3 linked regions of the Schizosaccharomyces pombe genome follow. The protein of the gene in region 1 purifies or fractionates together with the protein of each later gene. This does not show direct contact. Each region holds a gene or a part of one and is shown in the gene's direction. Other genes may lie near its edges.

Region 1 (5,548 bases):
CTTCGTTTACTAGAGAACCAAAGCTACCATCCACTTTCCTTTCACTTAGACTATCAAGGCAAGATAGTAAAACGCCTTTCTCAAAAATGGCAGACGTTTCTAAGTCGGATTCACTTAGTGAGCTAAGCTGAAGTTTGAAAAGCTCCAAAAAGGAAGCGTAAAACTCTGGTTCAGTTTCCGCCAATTCATAAGACTGCAATAGCAAACTCAACATATTCTTCCAATGCTCCAAAGCACCATAGTGGGAGAGAATAGAGTAGCTCAGAAAGGAAATTGATAATTCCGCTAATGCAGAGATGGGATTGTCATTCCACACGCTTTGGACGAGTCTTTGAAACAAAAACGATTTATCAATTGCTTGCTTAGACCGTTCAGGTCCAGTGGCAGACGGCGACCAGCTTCGTCGTAAATTGAATTCAGCGAAATTTAATAGTTTATCGTCTCGAGAGGGTTTTGAGAATTCCGGATCTTGTGACACAAGATCAGCGTTGACATACGTTGAAGTGTCTAAGTAGAAAAATTCACCTTCAGTAGCAAAAATTCTTTGAAGATCTTGAACTGTAATGAACTTCGTCAACAAGTCCCAATCCTTTGTTGATTCAAAGGGATAAAAGTTTTCGTCATATAATACATCAAGCTTCTGCAAAGAAGCTGTTTCAGATTTCGAATCAAAGTCGATACTATATTTCATATCTTCATGGACCATAGCAAAAACTCCAGAAATTAATCCAGCAGGGTATGTTGGAGACCAAGTGAAAAGATGAATTCCACCTTTTACATTTCGAATACCTGGAAGCTTACTAGCTTCATATGAACTCTGATCAATGCCAACGTAATATGTATTTAACCATCCGACAAACTCTATACTCATTATATACAAAACAAATTATTCCATATCTTCATTTATTTTGTCTATTAAGTTGAATTTAAGATCGTAGACATTGGTCAAAGCTAAGTTTCAGGCTACTGATTTAAGAGTTATAGCGATGGATATTATAAAAAACACCATAATACATTAAAGGTTTTTGGGTGTCAGCAATTCTACACTACGCTATAATATACATCGTTTCGTATCACTAAATATCGCCTGCTAGAATAGTAGTTAAGATCTATTTATTCATAGTTACGGATAAAATTCCATCTATCTAAATATATTCCAATTGATATAAATTAATCGAGACATTTTAAATAAAGCTACAACTGAACCTCGCTCCTTTAGTTTAGTCGTTAGCTAGATCGCTGACTGGACACTATTAGACTTCTTTAAAGTAATAAAAGTAACAATTGTTAGTTAAACGTACAACCTACCGCTACATGGCAAATCGTAATATAAGCTCACCGAAATTTTAGGTAGTGTTACACATTTCCGCGGACTTTGTAATTCACTTAAAGACACGTAAGGATACACTGAATTTGTTTGAGATATTCCAAAAATCAATCAGGGAATGTGGAATTACATAATATAAATAATATTACTTAAGTACTATTTGTTAATGGAATCAATTGTATTCTATACACCATTGATTAATAACATAGATGGATATACACGAGAGGCTTGAGACATATAATGATGCGTAGCATTGGAATTTGCTTAACAATTTAACACTCATATTTAACCCACGTAAAATAGTTTTACGTTTCTTAAAGCATCTGCTAATCAAAATCTGTTTTGTCGAGCTGATAAATTCGTGTTTATAGTATTGGGAAGAATTACTCTATAAAACGCTCTTTTTAACTTATAGATGGTAATTGAGGTAAGAGGTACTTCTGAGTAACTTATCTTATTAATGCGAAAGAATACAAAGGACATTTCCATAAACACAGGGTATAAACGACAGGAAGATGCTTTAAACACAGATTCTGAGGACTTAATATATCGACCAAAAAAAATTATTAAAACAAATCAAGAGGATGCAGTACATGATTTGAAATACGAAAATTTCGTATCAAAAAATCACGTTTTACAAAGCGACATTAATGGCAAGAAGAGGGACAGCAATCGAGACAAGGCCGCTGTAGTCACAGCGCCAATTGCTTCTACTCATGAATCTAATTACGAAGAATCTGTTTCCAAATTTAAAGAGAGTTGGCTGCCTCAATTAAAAGATCTCATTGAATCTCATAAAACAATATGCGAATCAACGTTAGCCTACGAGAGTGATCAAGCTATGGCTTCTTCTAATACATTAAAGAGAATAAAAGATTTAAAAAGCAAACCAAAAAATATTATACAGTTAGAAAGGTTGCATATGCTATCTAATGGCGAACATCGTTTATTATCGAAAGACGAAACCGATGATATTGAGTCTGCATACTTGAACCTTAGATCACATCTTCAGGTACAAGAACAGGTTTACGCTGAAAAGGATCATGAATATTCGTTACAACTTCAATCATACAGAGAGGCAGCAGAAAAGGCCAAGCAAGATAGTAAGAATACATGTCTTTATGCTGACTTTATTTGATTACTAACTATTTTAAAGTTTTAGAAACAAAAGAAAATCTTTCCTCTGAATTATCGATATCGAATATCCAGTTGAAGGAAGCCAAGGAAAGGTTAGAAGCTGCGAATGCAAGCTACCAAAAGCTACGTCGAGAACACAAAGAACTTGCACTTTATCATGAAAAGAAAACACATTCTCTAGTTTGTAATCTAAATGGTGAACGAAAATCCTTTGGGGATTTTGTTGAGAACGAAGTAAAGTCATATAAACATGAATATGCCAATATTTGTGAATCACTTCGGAGAGCTCTAGTGCTGATACAAGGTTCTTGTACTGAGAAAATTTTGCGTTTTAAAGAAAAAATTCTGGACTTATTAGAAATGAAACAACAAGAAGAAAATGATCGAATATCCCACATTGAATATGAGAATGATTTAACGGTTAAAAAGCTTAAAAGGAGAATATCTGAGTTGGAAATGGCAGTAAAAGAATATGAATCGGAAAAATCATACTCGGAAAAAGAATATGAAGAAAAAATCTCCTCTCTGCGTATAGAATTAGAAGACAAGTTAGCTGAAATTGACATGCTTCGAAATAAACTGTTAAAGGAAGAGCATAAACACCACTCTACATCTGAAAAACTTGAAGAACTTTCTAAATATGTTGCAAGTATTCAAGATAAAGAAAGAAATAATGGCCAGAACGCATTGGAACTACAAGCTCGAATCCAACAGCTGGAACGGAGAAATGAAGATATGTATAATAAACTGTTAGCAGAAGAAATAATCAGACGAAAGCTGCATAACGACATTCAAGAACTAAAGGGAAATATTCGAGTTTTTTGTAGGGTTAGACCACTACTCCCAAGTGAAGAATCCGAATATTGCATTGCTGATGTTTTACAATTTCCAGATAAAGACGCACTAGAGCCACAAAAACTTATTCTTAAAGGGCCTAATGTTGAATCATCACTCGGGCATACTTATGATCGTAATTATGAATTTTCCTTTGATCGAGTCTTTGCTCCTGAAAGCGATAACTCGTCCGTTTTTGAGGAAATATCACAGTTAATTCAAAGCGCTATTGATGGTTATAATGTTAGTATATTTGCATATGGACAAACAGGATCGGGTAAGACGTACACAATGTCGTCACAAGACGGTATGATAGCGATGTCAATTAAGCATATATTTAATTATCTATCAACCTTGAGGGAGAAAGGGTGGGTGTATAAATTGAGAGGTCAGTTTTTGGAAATTTACAATGAAACGATTTATGATCTATTAAACAAAGCGGAAATGTTGAAAAATCCTAAGCACGATATTCATCATGATGAAAAGGAAAGACGAACAACAGTGGATAACGTTTCAATAATTGATTTTAATGAAGAAGATACTGTTTACAAGATGCTAAATCGAGCAGGAGAAAATCGATTTATAGCAGCGACAAAAGCAAATGAACGGTCTTCAAGATCACACACTGTTTTCATGCTGTATATAGATGGTGAAAATTCTAGAACCAAACAAATATGTAAAGGTACGCTAAATCTAGTTGATTTGGCAGGTTCTGAGCGGTTAAGTTACAGTCAGGCAGTTGGGGATAGACTACGAGAAACGCAAGCTATTAATAAAAGTCTCAGCTGTCTTGGCGATGTTATCCATGCACTTGGAAATGCCTCAAATAGTACCACGAAGGAAAAGTCTCACATACCATACCGAAATTCAAAGGTGAGTATTAGAATGAAAAGTTCTTTACGAAACACGTTCTTTAACTGTCAAAGTGGCTACTTATTTGCTTTGCAGCAGTGTGTAAAGTCTATATTGAAAGCATTTTTGTACTAACCAGACATTAGCTAACTTATTTGTTAAAATATTCACTTGGAAAAGGTGCCAAAACCCTGATGTTTGTTAATGTGTCTCCTTTAAAGTCGCAATTCATGGATACATTAAATAGTCTGCGATTTGCAACAAAAGTCAATGATACAAAAGTAGGTTCTATTAAACATTATAAACGTTAAGCTTATTTTAGAGTAAAAAATGTTTACCAAAGCATTTAAGATGCTGGGTTTGGTGGAGCAGCTGCTGCTTGTGCTTGAATGATGGCACCTTTAACTTTGCTGAATTCTTCTTGTGAGATTTTTGTTTGATTTTCGAGGCGTGCACTATAATTATGAATTAATAAAATGACATACGCAATTCGATAATACAAATGAAGAAGTACAACTCGCATTTTTAGAGAGCGATTTTAACCTCAAGGAAATTCTTCTTTTTCAAATTTCAACAAACATACATTTCTTTATTAATGAAATCCAATCTTGTTTTAACGTTGGTCTTTGCTTCCTCATGACTTTGCTTTACAAGGGTAGGACCGATTTGCTTATATATATTTGAGTCAGGAGCCACTTTTTCCAATTCCTAATTCGCATTAACAAAACAATTCTAATATAAATGGAGAAAATAGGGAAAATAGTAATTTTTGTGGCCTTAACGTACATTGAGGACAGTAGTGTTTTCTTGTAATTGGGTTTCCAACTTTTTTAAACTTTCGACATAAGTGCTTAGTTCTTGGGAATTTCGTTAATTATTTAATTCGATGCAGAAGGTTTTGATTTACCTGTTTGTAGGTTCTGATATTTTTTAGCTAATTCCTCCATTTCTATTCCTGTGTAAAAAGACGTAAAAGGATAGTAGGTAAAGAGACATTCTACTTACCTTGAAAGTCAGCTGAAATAGCGAAGTTCGTTGAAATTCTATATTATGAACAAAATATATTTTAATTGTGTGATATGATTGATTTTATGACTATATTGGATAAAAACGAGAAATAAATAAAACCGAATTAATTTAAACAGAGAAATGTAAGCTACACTAGGAAATCGATTTATGAATGAGTGAATGAAGGTGTTGCTGAAATTTTGAGTAAAGACTCACTGTTTTGATACAACAAAACTACTTGGTTCAGTATATAAATTAGTGAATTGCAAACCTTTTTTTTGAATAAAGGATATGAAAAATATTGTTTTAGTTCACTTCTCAACTGCATCCTTCTGGAATTAACAATTCGTAAATAATGAAACCGTTTTAATGAATACAAAAATGTCTTAT
Region 2 (5,381 bases), on another chromosome or scaffold:
GGATAAAAGCTTGGGATCCTTGTGTGTTTGGAAAATCTCGATTACAGCCCTCAAAGAGTATGCGTTTTAACCCCAGATTTACTAATATCACTTCTGATAGTGATAGACCTGATAAACGGATTATGATGCTGACTGGACTGGCAGGTGCAGGTAAAACGACTTTGGCTCATGTTATTGCTCATCAGGCTGGATACAAAGTTTTGGAAATAAATGCTAGTGATGATCGTACTGCTCATACGGTTCATGAAAAGGTATCCTCTGCCATTAGCAATCATTCAGCCTTGTCATCTCAACCTACATGTGTTATAGTTGATGAAATTGACGGAGGTGATCCTGCATTCGTACGAGCACTTTTGAGTTTATTAGAGAGTGACGAAAAAGCGACTGAGTATTCTCAAGCTGGTAATTCAAAGAAAAAGAAAAAGTTTAAGAAACTTTGTCGTCCCATTATTTGCATTTGTAATGACTTATATACTCCAGCACTTCGACCTCTGCGACCATATGCTCAAATAATATATTTTCGACCACCTCCTCAAGCATCTCTTGTCGGTCGTTTAAGGACTATTTGCCGAAATGAAAATATAGCTGTTGACAGCCGCTCTTTGACTTTGCTGACAGATATCTATAATTCTGACATTCGAAGCTGTATCAACAGTTTACAACTTTTGTCTTTAAATAACAAACGTATAGATTCTGAGACCATAAAGCTTTTGCAACCAAAAAGTAATTCTTTTAGTACTTCTAGTTTAATCCAATCTCTTTTTTTACAACTTGATAATAAACAAATACGTGCAATTGAAGCATCGCAACCTACTTACTCACATTTGGACGCCCTCCTTGCAAGGATTGATGGAGCTAATGATTCTGAATCAGTCTTGATGAATTGTTTTCATACATACTTAGATCTTCCTTTTACTGATAGCTTACTTTCTAAACCTGCTTTGACAAGCGAGTGGCTTTACTTTTTCGACCAACTTCATTCACAATGTTATAAGGGAAATTATGAGTTATGGAGGTACATACCTTATTCCATTATTCATTTTCATTATTTGTATGCAACTCCTGAAAAGTGCCGCCTTCCGCATCCTCCCAGAAGTGATTTGGAAGCTTTAAAACTTTATCGTACTCGCAAAGAAATATTGGATTCATTCATATCGACGCTAAATGCTTATGAAAATCAAATGCATGGAGAAAGATCAATTCTTTTGGAACTTATCCGTACAATTTTAATTACCATAAATCCTACACTAAAACAGGTAAGGTCTATATATTTTAAAAAAAAAAAAAAAAAAAATTGCGTGAAACAATATTTTTTTAATTTACTAACTTTTTATAGAAAGAAGATTCTATGCCAAGGAGCGCTTTACCTTCTAAAATTGAGCATGCGATTAACATTTTAAATCATTATAATTTGCGTTTCCAACAGCTTCCCGTTGGAGATGGCAACTATGTGTATAGGCTTGAGCCGTAAGTTCCAATATTTTTATTTCTTTCTAGTAATAGCTAACGTTGACAGACCTTTGGATGAATTGGTTTGGGACGCACCTACAAGTTCATATTCTGTTCGTCAAATGCTATCTCAGGAACTGCTCAAGAAAAGGCTCGCAGACATTAAAAAACAAACCCTAACGGACAACCCCACTTCTTCGAATTCTTCAAGAAAGCGCAAAGATTTTAATTCCGGAAAAGCAATTAAGAGAGATTTTTTTGGCCGTATCATTTCTGAACCAAAATCTGAAGCAGTTACATCGAATAATGCAGCTTTGAATACAGGAGATCATCCAGTTTCCATCAAGCATGCAATCAATATCAAATTTCACGATGGGTTTTCCAATGCTGTGAGAAAACCAATATCGTTGAACGAGATTCTGAATTTCTAATCTAATGTGCATTAATATTTTTAATTTCAATCTTTTTGAAATAAAATCAATCATTTAATTTAAAAAAAAATCACTAGTAAAAATAGGTGTATGCGTAAATTCATCTAACCATTATTTCCTGACCGCGACTTCGGCGTGTACTTTGTCAATGGCTTTAAGATTTTGAGTTAACGATCAATACTTGTATTTCTCTATTTTAATTCAAAAATAAAAAAAATACTTTCGTCATTTGAAGTTCTCAAATGTCGGAGATTCATGTGAAAACTGCATTATCACGTCTGGCGGACAAGTATTTACAGAACTCCAAAAACCCTTCTGTCCCTTACACAATTGAAACGATCGTGTCTTTCTTTCAGGAAATAATTCACTCGTAAGCTAATTTCGTGTAAATGATCATGCTAACTGTTAGCATTTCTCCTGATACTTTTCAACTGGACATTGATGACATTCTGTACAAAATATATTCAAAAAGTATGTGAAGGTCTAAATACCAAAATTAACAGTTTTTTAGTTCCCCCCGAAGAAAACAATGATGCTTTATTTTCTAAATTATCTAACTTAGTTTCGCGTTTGAAAAGTCAAACGGTCATTCACAACAAATCTCAAATACTCTATTTCTTATACTTGCTCTCTCCTATTTCTCAGTCATCAAGAGATGTCTCCTCTCATTTATTAGATGAGTCTATTTCCAATCCTATCAATATTCCATCAACAGAAGTGGAATCCTCAAACTTTGGTCAGACACGTTACGATCAAGTTCCTGAAAACCCCCAAATTACTGATTGGGATGAAGGATTGGAAAATGAAAGTTCTATCTCAATTGCTCATGATTCATCTAGGCTAAACCGTAGTACTGAAACTTCTTCTGTTCAACATACTTTGATTACAGAAGCCGATTTGTTGTCTTCAATATCTTACGTACTTCAAGGAATTTCTACCGAATATGTTCAGTTTAAAAATGAATTAGCGCTGTTGTCTAAGAGAATACCTGTCCAATACCTTTTACAGATGCGAGCTCTTTCAGAGACAGGCTTATTATATCAGGAACTAAAGGTTTTCAGCAATTATGATCCTTCGGTCAGTCAATCCATTGATGGTGATAACGTTAGTAAAGCATTTATAAACGATCAGTCTTTAGCTTTACAAAGTTTAAAATCGGTCATTTCTAAAGAGCTGACTAATTTCCTTGCGTTAATTGCATCTCTGGATTCACAAATTCGAGCAGACGCTTCACTTGAGAAGCCTATGGTAACTATCCGGCGTTGCATTGCCTGGACGCAAGTTGCCAAGCTAAAACTTAGAATTTTGTCTTCAGTTGTTAATGATAATATGAACCAGGAGAATAAAAAAAGATTGATTCAAGTGGTTTCGAAATACAATGTGCATGGAGATCCGCTAATACAAGAATTGAGTGATAAAATACTAACAGAAATTACTGGACCTTTATACGAAATGATTGAAAACTGGATTTATAAAGGAGAATTGGTCGACCCTTATCAAGAATTTTTTGTTAAAGAAAAAAATGGTAGTGAAAGCCATGATCATCAAGGGCAAGGTGATGTCGTCTGGAAAGGTAAATATTTTTTAGACAAAGAGTTAATACCAAGTTTCCTTTCTGAAGAACTTGTCGACAAAATCTTTTTGATTGGAAAGAGTTTAAACTTCGCACGTTATGGATGTGGTGATTTTGACTGGGCACAAGAGCATTACCAGAAGCTAGTGAAAAAACTTAGTTATAGAGACCCTCATTCATTAGAAACAGTGGTTGATAAGGCGTATACTGAGTCCATTAATCACTTAGTATACTTGATGGAAGAGGTGTTTCATTTGACTGATCATTTAAAGGCTATCAAAAAATACCTTTTACTAGGACAAGGTGATTTTGTGGACTTATTAATGGAGAGCCTTGGTAATTCTTTGGATCAGCCGGCTAATACTTTGTTCAGACACAATTTGACTGCTTCTTTAGAAAGCGCCATTCGTTCAAGTAATGCATCTTATGAACCTGAATACGTATTAAAAAGATTGGATGCTAGGCTTCTGGAGCTTTCACATGGTGAAACTGGTTGGGATGTTTTTACGTTGGAGTATAAAGTTGATTCACCTATCAACGTAATAATAACACCATATTGCTCTAGACAATACTTAAAAATATTTAACTTTTTATGGAGGTTGAAACGAATTGAGTTTGCCCTTGCCCATTCCTGGAGGCGAGTAAATTTGGGCGAGCGAAATGTCTTCAGAAATCTGGATTACACAAAATTCGAATGGCATTTTGTCAGTTGTCATCTTGCGGAAATGATTCATTTTGTTTGTCAACTTCAATATTATATACTCTTTGAGGTAACGAAAAACCAAAACCCAATTTTGCATTGTATACTAACCATTGGAAACAGGTTATCGAAATTAGTTGGCAAGAATTACAGCTTGCTATGGAGAAACCAAACGCTACATTGGATACGTATATAGAGGCACATGAAAAATATGTTACTAGTATAACTCATAAGGGCTTGTTGGGTGGTGGTAAGTCAAGGAATGAAGATTCCTTCCTTCATCAGCTTCATGATATACTTAAAGTTATCTTAAACTTTCATGATGCAATTGAGTTGTTGTATAACTTTTCTTGCTCCCTGTCGAATAGAATTCGCATTAATGTACCAATTTCGACTGATGCTTTGGCAGCTCAATACACCCCTATAAAAAATGAACTCTCAAATTTTACTGAGGAATTCCAGGTTCGACTTCAAAAATTATTACATGGATTAGCTTCCCATAAGGACCCAGAAATGCGCTTTCTTTCCGTTCGTCTCAATTATAACGAATTCTACGTTTCTCATAGACGGCGTCATGATAAGGATGTTACCAGTCAATAAATGAGGTTCATGCATGATTATTTAAACTTTTATTACTCGTAGTAAACTATAAATTTAGTTATTAATATTTAATGTGATTTAACTATCGTTCAGCGGTGCTGTTTAATTTGCCTTTGCCAACCACCAACACCACCCACCCATTTGGTTAACTTTTTTCAGCAACCACATATACGGATATCATGTCCGCGCCTGCTGGTAGACTTCAACCTCAGCGTTTTGCTGCTTTACCTAATCCCGTTACTGCTGAAAATAAATTTTGGCGGTCATTCAAGGTTCCTGTCGTTGCCAAGGAATATAGTGCTATCACTAGTATTCATTTTTCCGCTGAATCCCCTTATGACTTTGCAGTAACTAGTGGGGCTCGTGTACAAATTTATGGAGCTAGTTCAAGGTCTGTTAAAAAAACAATTGCTCGATTTAAGGATACCGCATATTCTGGTAACATTAGAAAGGATGGAAAACTTTTGCTTGCAGGAGATGCTACAGGACTTGTACAGGTAAGTCTACATTACCAAAAGCTTTGAAAGATAGTTGCAATTAAAACGTTGATAAGCTGCACATGGAATTTTGTTAGTTTAGTTTAGCTGATTGAAGCTGTCATTTGCTAGTATATAGCTAAAAAAATACC
Region 3 (3,743 bases), on another chromosome or scaffold:
CAAAAGTGAGGATTTGATCCAGGAATATGAATCTTCTCTTTTATTAGAACCATCACTTCGTTTGCGAATTAGTTACCTTGCGCTTTTTTTAAAAAATACTTTGCAGTTCGGATACATACGGAAAAAGGAAAATGTAAATTTGAATCTCGTAAAAACTCCTAAGTATGACGATTTAACGAAAATGAACCTCAGTTCTTCGACTGCTAATACACTAATCAAAGGTATTCAATCATACAACTTTCAAAATTATGAAAAGGCATATTCTTTACTAGCTGCTGGAGTTACCAATTCTTTGCTTGAATGGACAAACACTAGTGTCTCAGATAAAGAATATTTGCGAATTCAGTGCTTTATTCAATCTTGCTTGCAATATCGTTTAACCCAGGATGAAAAATATCTCATTGATTTGGATGTGAAAGTTTGCAGTCTATTCAATACAAGTGCTCGTGAAGCTCTTATCCATTATGCAAAAGCTATGAAATTACTGTCAAAGTACAATAGTCGTGAAAATATGATTACCAAATTACGTGAAAGTAGTTTATATCTCCTATATGCGCCTACTGATGCATTTCTTTTACTTTTATTGGGTCTATTGATGAGACTTGTATTGTTGAATTATGGTATTTGGCATGATAGACGATCTGCCCTTAAATTTACGGACATCGATTATTTCGTGTTTTCGGACGCATCAAAATATGTCTCCATAGGAATGTCACCGTATATGCGTGACACATATCGCTATACTCCAATGTTGGCAATTTTGCTTCTTCCTACTCAATACGGATTTCCGTCGTGGGGTAAATATTTGTTTTCAATATCAGACTTAATTGCTGGGTGGCTTATGATTAAGCTCTTATCTAGGAGGATATCTTACAAAAGGTCGTTAATTTACTCTTCCTTCTGGATATTGAACCCATTCGTCGCCATAATCAGTACTCGAGGGAATTGTGAAGCCATTCTTGGTATATTGAGCATTGCTTTGTTGTATTTGATCGAAAAAAAATCAGTTTGGCTAGCTAGCCTAATACTTGGGTTTTCTGTGCATTTTAAAATTTACCCATTTATGTATGGGATTGCTTTCTTAGTATATTTTTCAAAACCAAAAAAAGGGTCCACTTTCATGGAAAAATTTCTATCTTTATTATCGATTAATCAGTTAAAGATTGTTGTTGGTTCTTTGTTTATGTTTACGATATGTAATTTATTGATGTATTACCTTTACGGGTCTCCATTCCTTGAACATACATATCTTTACCACTTTGGTAGAACAGATCATCGACATAATTTCTCTCTACATCATTTAAACTTATACTATGAATCATCTTTCGGAGCAAAAGCGTCTTCTTTATTTGCATTTCTGCCGCAGTTAAGTTTGTGCATGCTAATACCCTTGGTCTTTGGAAAAAAGAATTTACCTGGGACTCTATTTGCCCAAACATTTGCATTTGTAACCTTTAATAAGGTTTGTACCAGTCAGGTATGTTAAGTTTGAAATTAGAAGAATGACGGATTATACTAACAACTTAGTATTTTATGTGGTATCTAGTATTTCTACCTCTGGTTTTACCAAACTCTAAGCTTTTAAGTAAGAAGGGACTTATTTGTCTGTCTCTGTGGATTATTGGTCAGCTGTTATGGCTTATTAGTGCATACAATTTAGAAATGTTGGGAAAATCGGTATTTATACCTCTTTGGCTTTCCGGCTTACTTTTTTTTTTTTTTAATGTTTATGAATTAAAAATAATATTAGATTCTTTGTAGTTAATAATCAATCTGTTTTAAGTTCTATGCAATAGATGATTTTTATAAGGATGTTCTACATTATTTCTTCACCACCGCATTAATAAGTGTAAACATTGGAAGATGACCACCCCCATTGTTTTTTGCAACCCCAGCAATATAGAAGAAAGCCTTTTGTATATTAACAAATCTTTATTTTCCAAAGGAGTAATACAAGCTGAAAAGTTACGCCTTTCTCATGACATTCGTGATAATTGCAACATAGTGAACATCATATATCGTTTATTAAGAGCAACTGACGAAGAACGTTTAGAAAAGGAATCTCTTCTTGATGCTATTAAAAATAATGAATATGAAAAGCAAAGAGATAACAATACAATAAAACGGCTCAAAAATGAGTTGGAGCTTTATCAAAACGAATGTCAATTGCAACTGAATAAAGTTAGAACACTGGAAAGAGATCAAGCTGAATTAATTACACAAAATAAAGGTTTGAAAGATGTAAATGCTAAAAATGAATTGACTTTGAAGGCATTAAAGAATCAATTATCTGTTTCATTACGCCAGCATGAGCAACAAATGGAGACTTTGAAAGGTAACTATGGACTAGTGAAAGCTCGAAAAGGAAGAAACCTAAATAGTATGTTAATCGTTAAAGAGCCTATTAAGCAAAACACAAATGCCCCCATACTACCTGAGACCGCTTCATTTTTGCAACAGAATGATGAAAATTCCAATTTCCTTAACAGTAGGGTGAATAACGATGAATTTCAATTGTTAAAAGGATTAAATAACGAATTGAAAAAAAGTAACGGAACACTTTTGACATGTTTAAGTGGTACCTTGAATTCACTGGTAGAGATGTTAAGTCCTTTATACGAACGTCCTAACTCGAACCCGTTTGAAGTATGTGAACTGAATGCTATCCTTCTTGATGCAAAAATTCAAAATCAGCTGCTTTTTATTCGTAATCTGTTGCATGAACGTAAATATGTTTCAATTGATGAATTGGATGCAATATTAGAGGAAAACGAGAAAAATAAACATTTGATAAACATTCTTCAAAAGGAGAACAAAAGAGTTTTTGAATTTTTAACAAATATGCACGACAAATTTTGACTGACTTTTAACGTAATAATTTGCTGCTTCGATTTCTTAAACGAAAGCCAATTTATTAATAATAAAGAACGCAATTCAAAGACACTTATATTCCTCTTTGAGAACTGGAAGATTGCTTTTTATTTTTTTAAATATTTATTTATTGTAAACAAGTGCATCTTCTTTCACTAAGTACAGAATTTTGAAGGCAAATTTCTATTCTCAATTGAACGATTTAACATACCTTAAAATGTGAAACTGTTAAACAGTGCACCAGGGCTTTGAAAGCATGTTGTTAAAGGATTGTAGGCACTAGCTCAAGAAAGTCGATTTAATTATTTCCATGTAAAAGTTAGTTGGAGCACTTACGATTGTGTTTAATCTTCAAAAAAATAATTAACCGGAATATTTTCTAAAAAGTCATAAGTTATTTTTAATTCTTTTTTATATTTGTAAAAAAACACCTACATAATTATAAATATATTGATATTTCGAATTTCAATTCTGCTCAAAACTACTAACACACCCCTAATAGAACAAAATATTTAAGGTACTAGTAAGCTTCAAAAATCATTATTGGTGGTTTTGTTAAAAAAGTAAAAATCAGAGTTACTATAATGATAAATAAATTTTAACAATTTTTTTTTTTAATTATACTTTTTAAGCGAATACGTTGGTGTATTAATTTTATTGGCGACAAGTCTTTAGCGAATTTAGAATAGCATTAGTAGTGTGATCAAGTACATTAGTTTTTTTTGTCAAATGTGTTCAATGTTAAACAATATAATTACCTTTTGTTATTGAAATCACATTTTCTTATTGTTTACATTTTTTAACATATAGTGCTATATATCAAGGATCGTTAAGTAGCATTGTGCATTCCCTGATACATTATGGCGCTTGCT

Evidence for each region.
Region 2: the proteins of pkl1 (region 1) and alp6 purify together in Schizosaccharomyces pombe (affinity purification with western blotting, with the first as the bait; one study listed by BioGRID). This does not show direct contact.
Region 3: the proteins of pkl1 (region 1) and msd1 purify together in Schizosaccharomyces pombe (affinity purification with western blotting; one study listed by BioGRID). This does not show direct contact.

Annotation. Positions count from the first base shown.
Region 1 is NC_003424.3:3,437,191-3,442,738, forward strand, and holds pkl1 (kinesin-14 family minus-end directed microtubule motor Pkl1), read left to right. Parts: upstream 1-1,699; 5' UTR 1,700-1,742; coding exon 1,743-1,754; intron 1,755-1,792; exon of another isoform or gene 1,793-1,796; coding exon 1,797-2,430; intron 2,431-2,483; coding exon 2,484-4,171; intron 4,172-4,296; coding exon 4,297-4,461; 3' UTR 4,462-4,496; coding exon of another isoform or gene 4,497-4,605; 3' UTR 4,606-4,733; coding exon of another isoform or gene 4,734-4,858; 3' UTR 4,859-4,927; downstream 4,928-5,548. Other genes in the region: U5 snRNP-associated protein Aar2, read right to left, coding at 1-871; pfd6 (prefoldin subunit 6), read right to left, coding at 4,497-4,605, 4,734-4,858, 4,937-5,007, 5,058-5,097.
Region 2 is NC_003423.3:480,448-485,828, reverse strand, and holds alp6 (gamma tubulin complex GCP3 subunit Alp6), read left to right. Parts: upstream 1-2,000; 5' UTR 2,001-2,122; coding exon 2,123-2,250; exon of another isoform or gene 2,251-2,289; coding exon 2,290-2,351; exon of another isoform or gene 2,352-2,391; coding exon 2,392-4,223; exon of another isoform or gene 4,224-4,276; coding exon 4,277-4,753; 3' UTR 4,754-4,881; downstream 4,882-5,381. Other genes in the region: Ctf18 RFC-like complex subunit Ctf18, read left to right, coding at 1-1,256, 1,337-1,467, 1,517-1,880; U3 snoRNP protein Utp15, read left to right, coding at 4,933-5,250.
Region 3 is NC_003423.3:3,048,717-3,052,459, forward strand, and holds msd1 (microtubule-anchoring factor Msd1), read left to right. Parts: upstream 1-1,834; 5' UTR 1,835-1,863; coding exon 1,864-2,859; 3' UTR 2,860-3,243; downstream 3,244-3,743. Other genes in the region: gpi14 (pig-M family mannosyltransferase), read left to right, coding at 1-1,477, 1,528-1,761. UniProt on the Schizosaccharomyces pombe protein: Has a role in meiosis.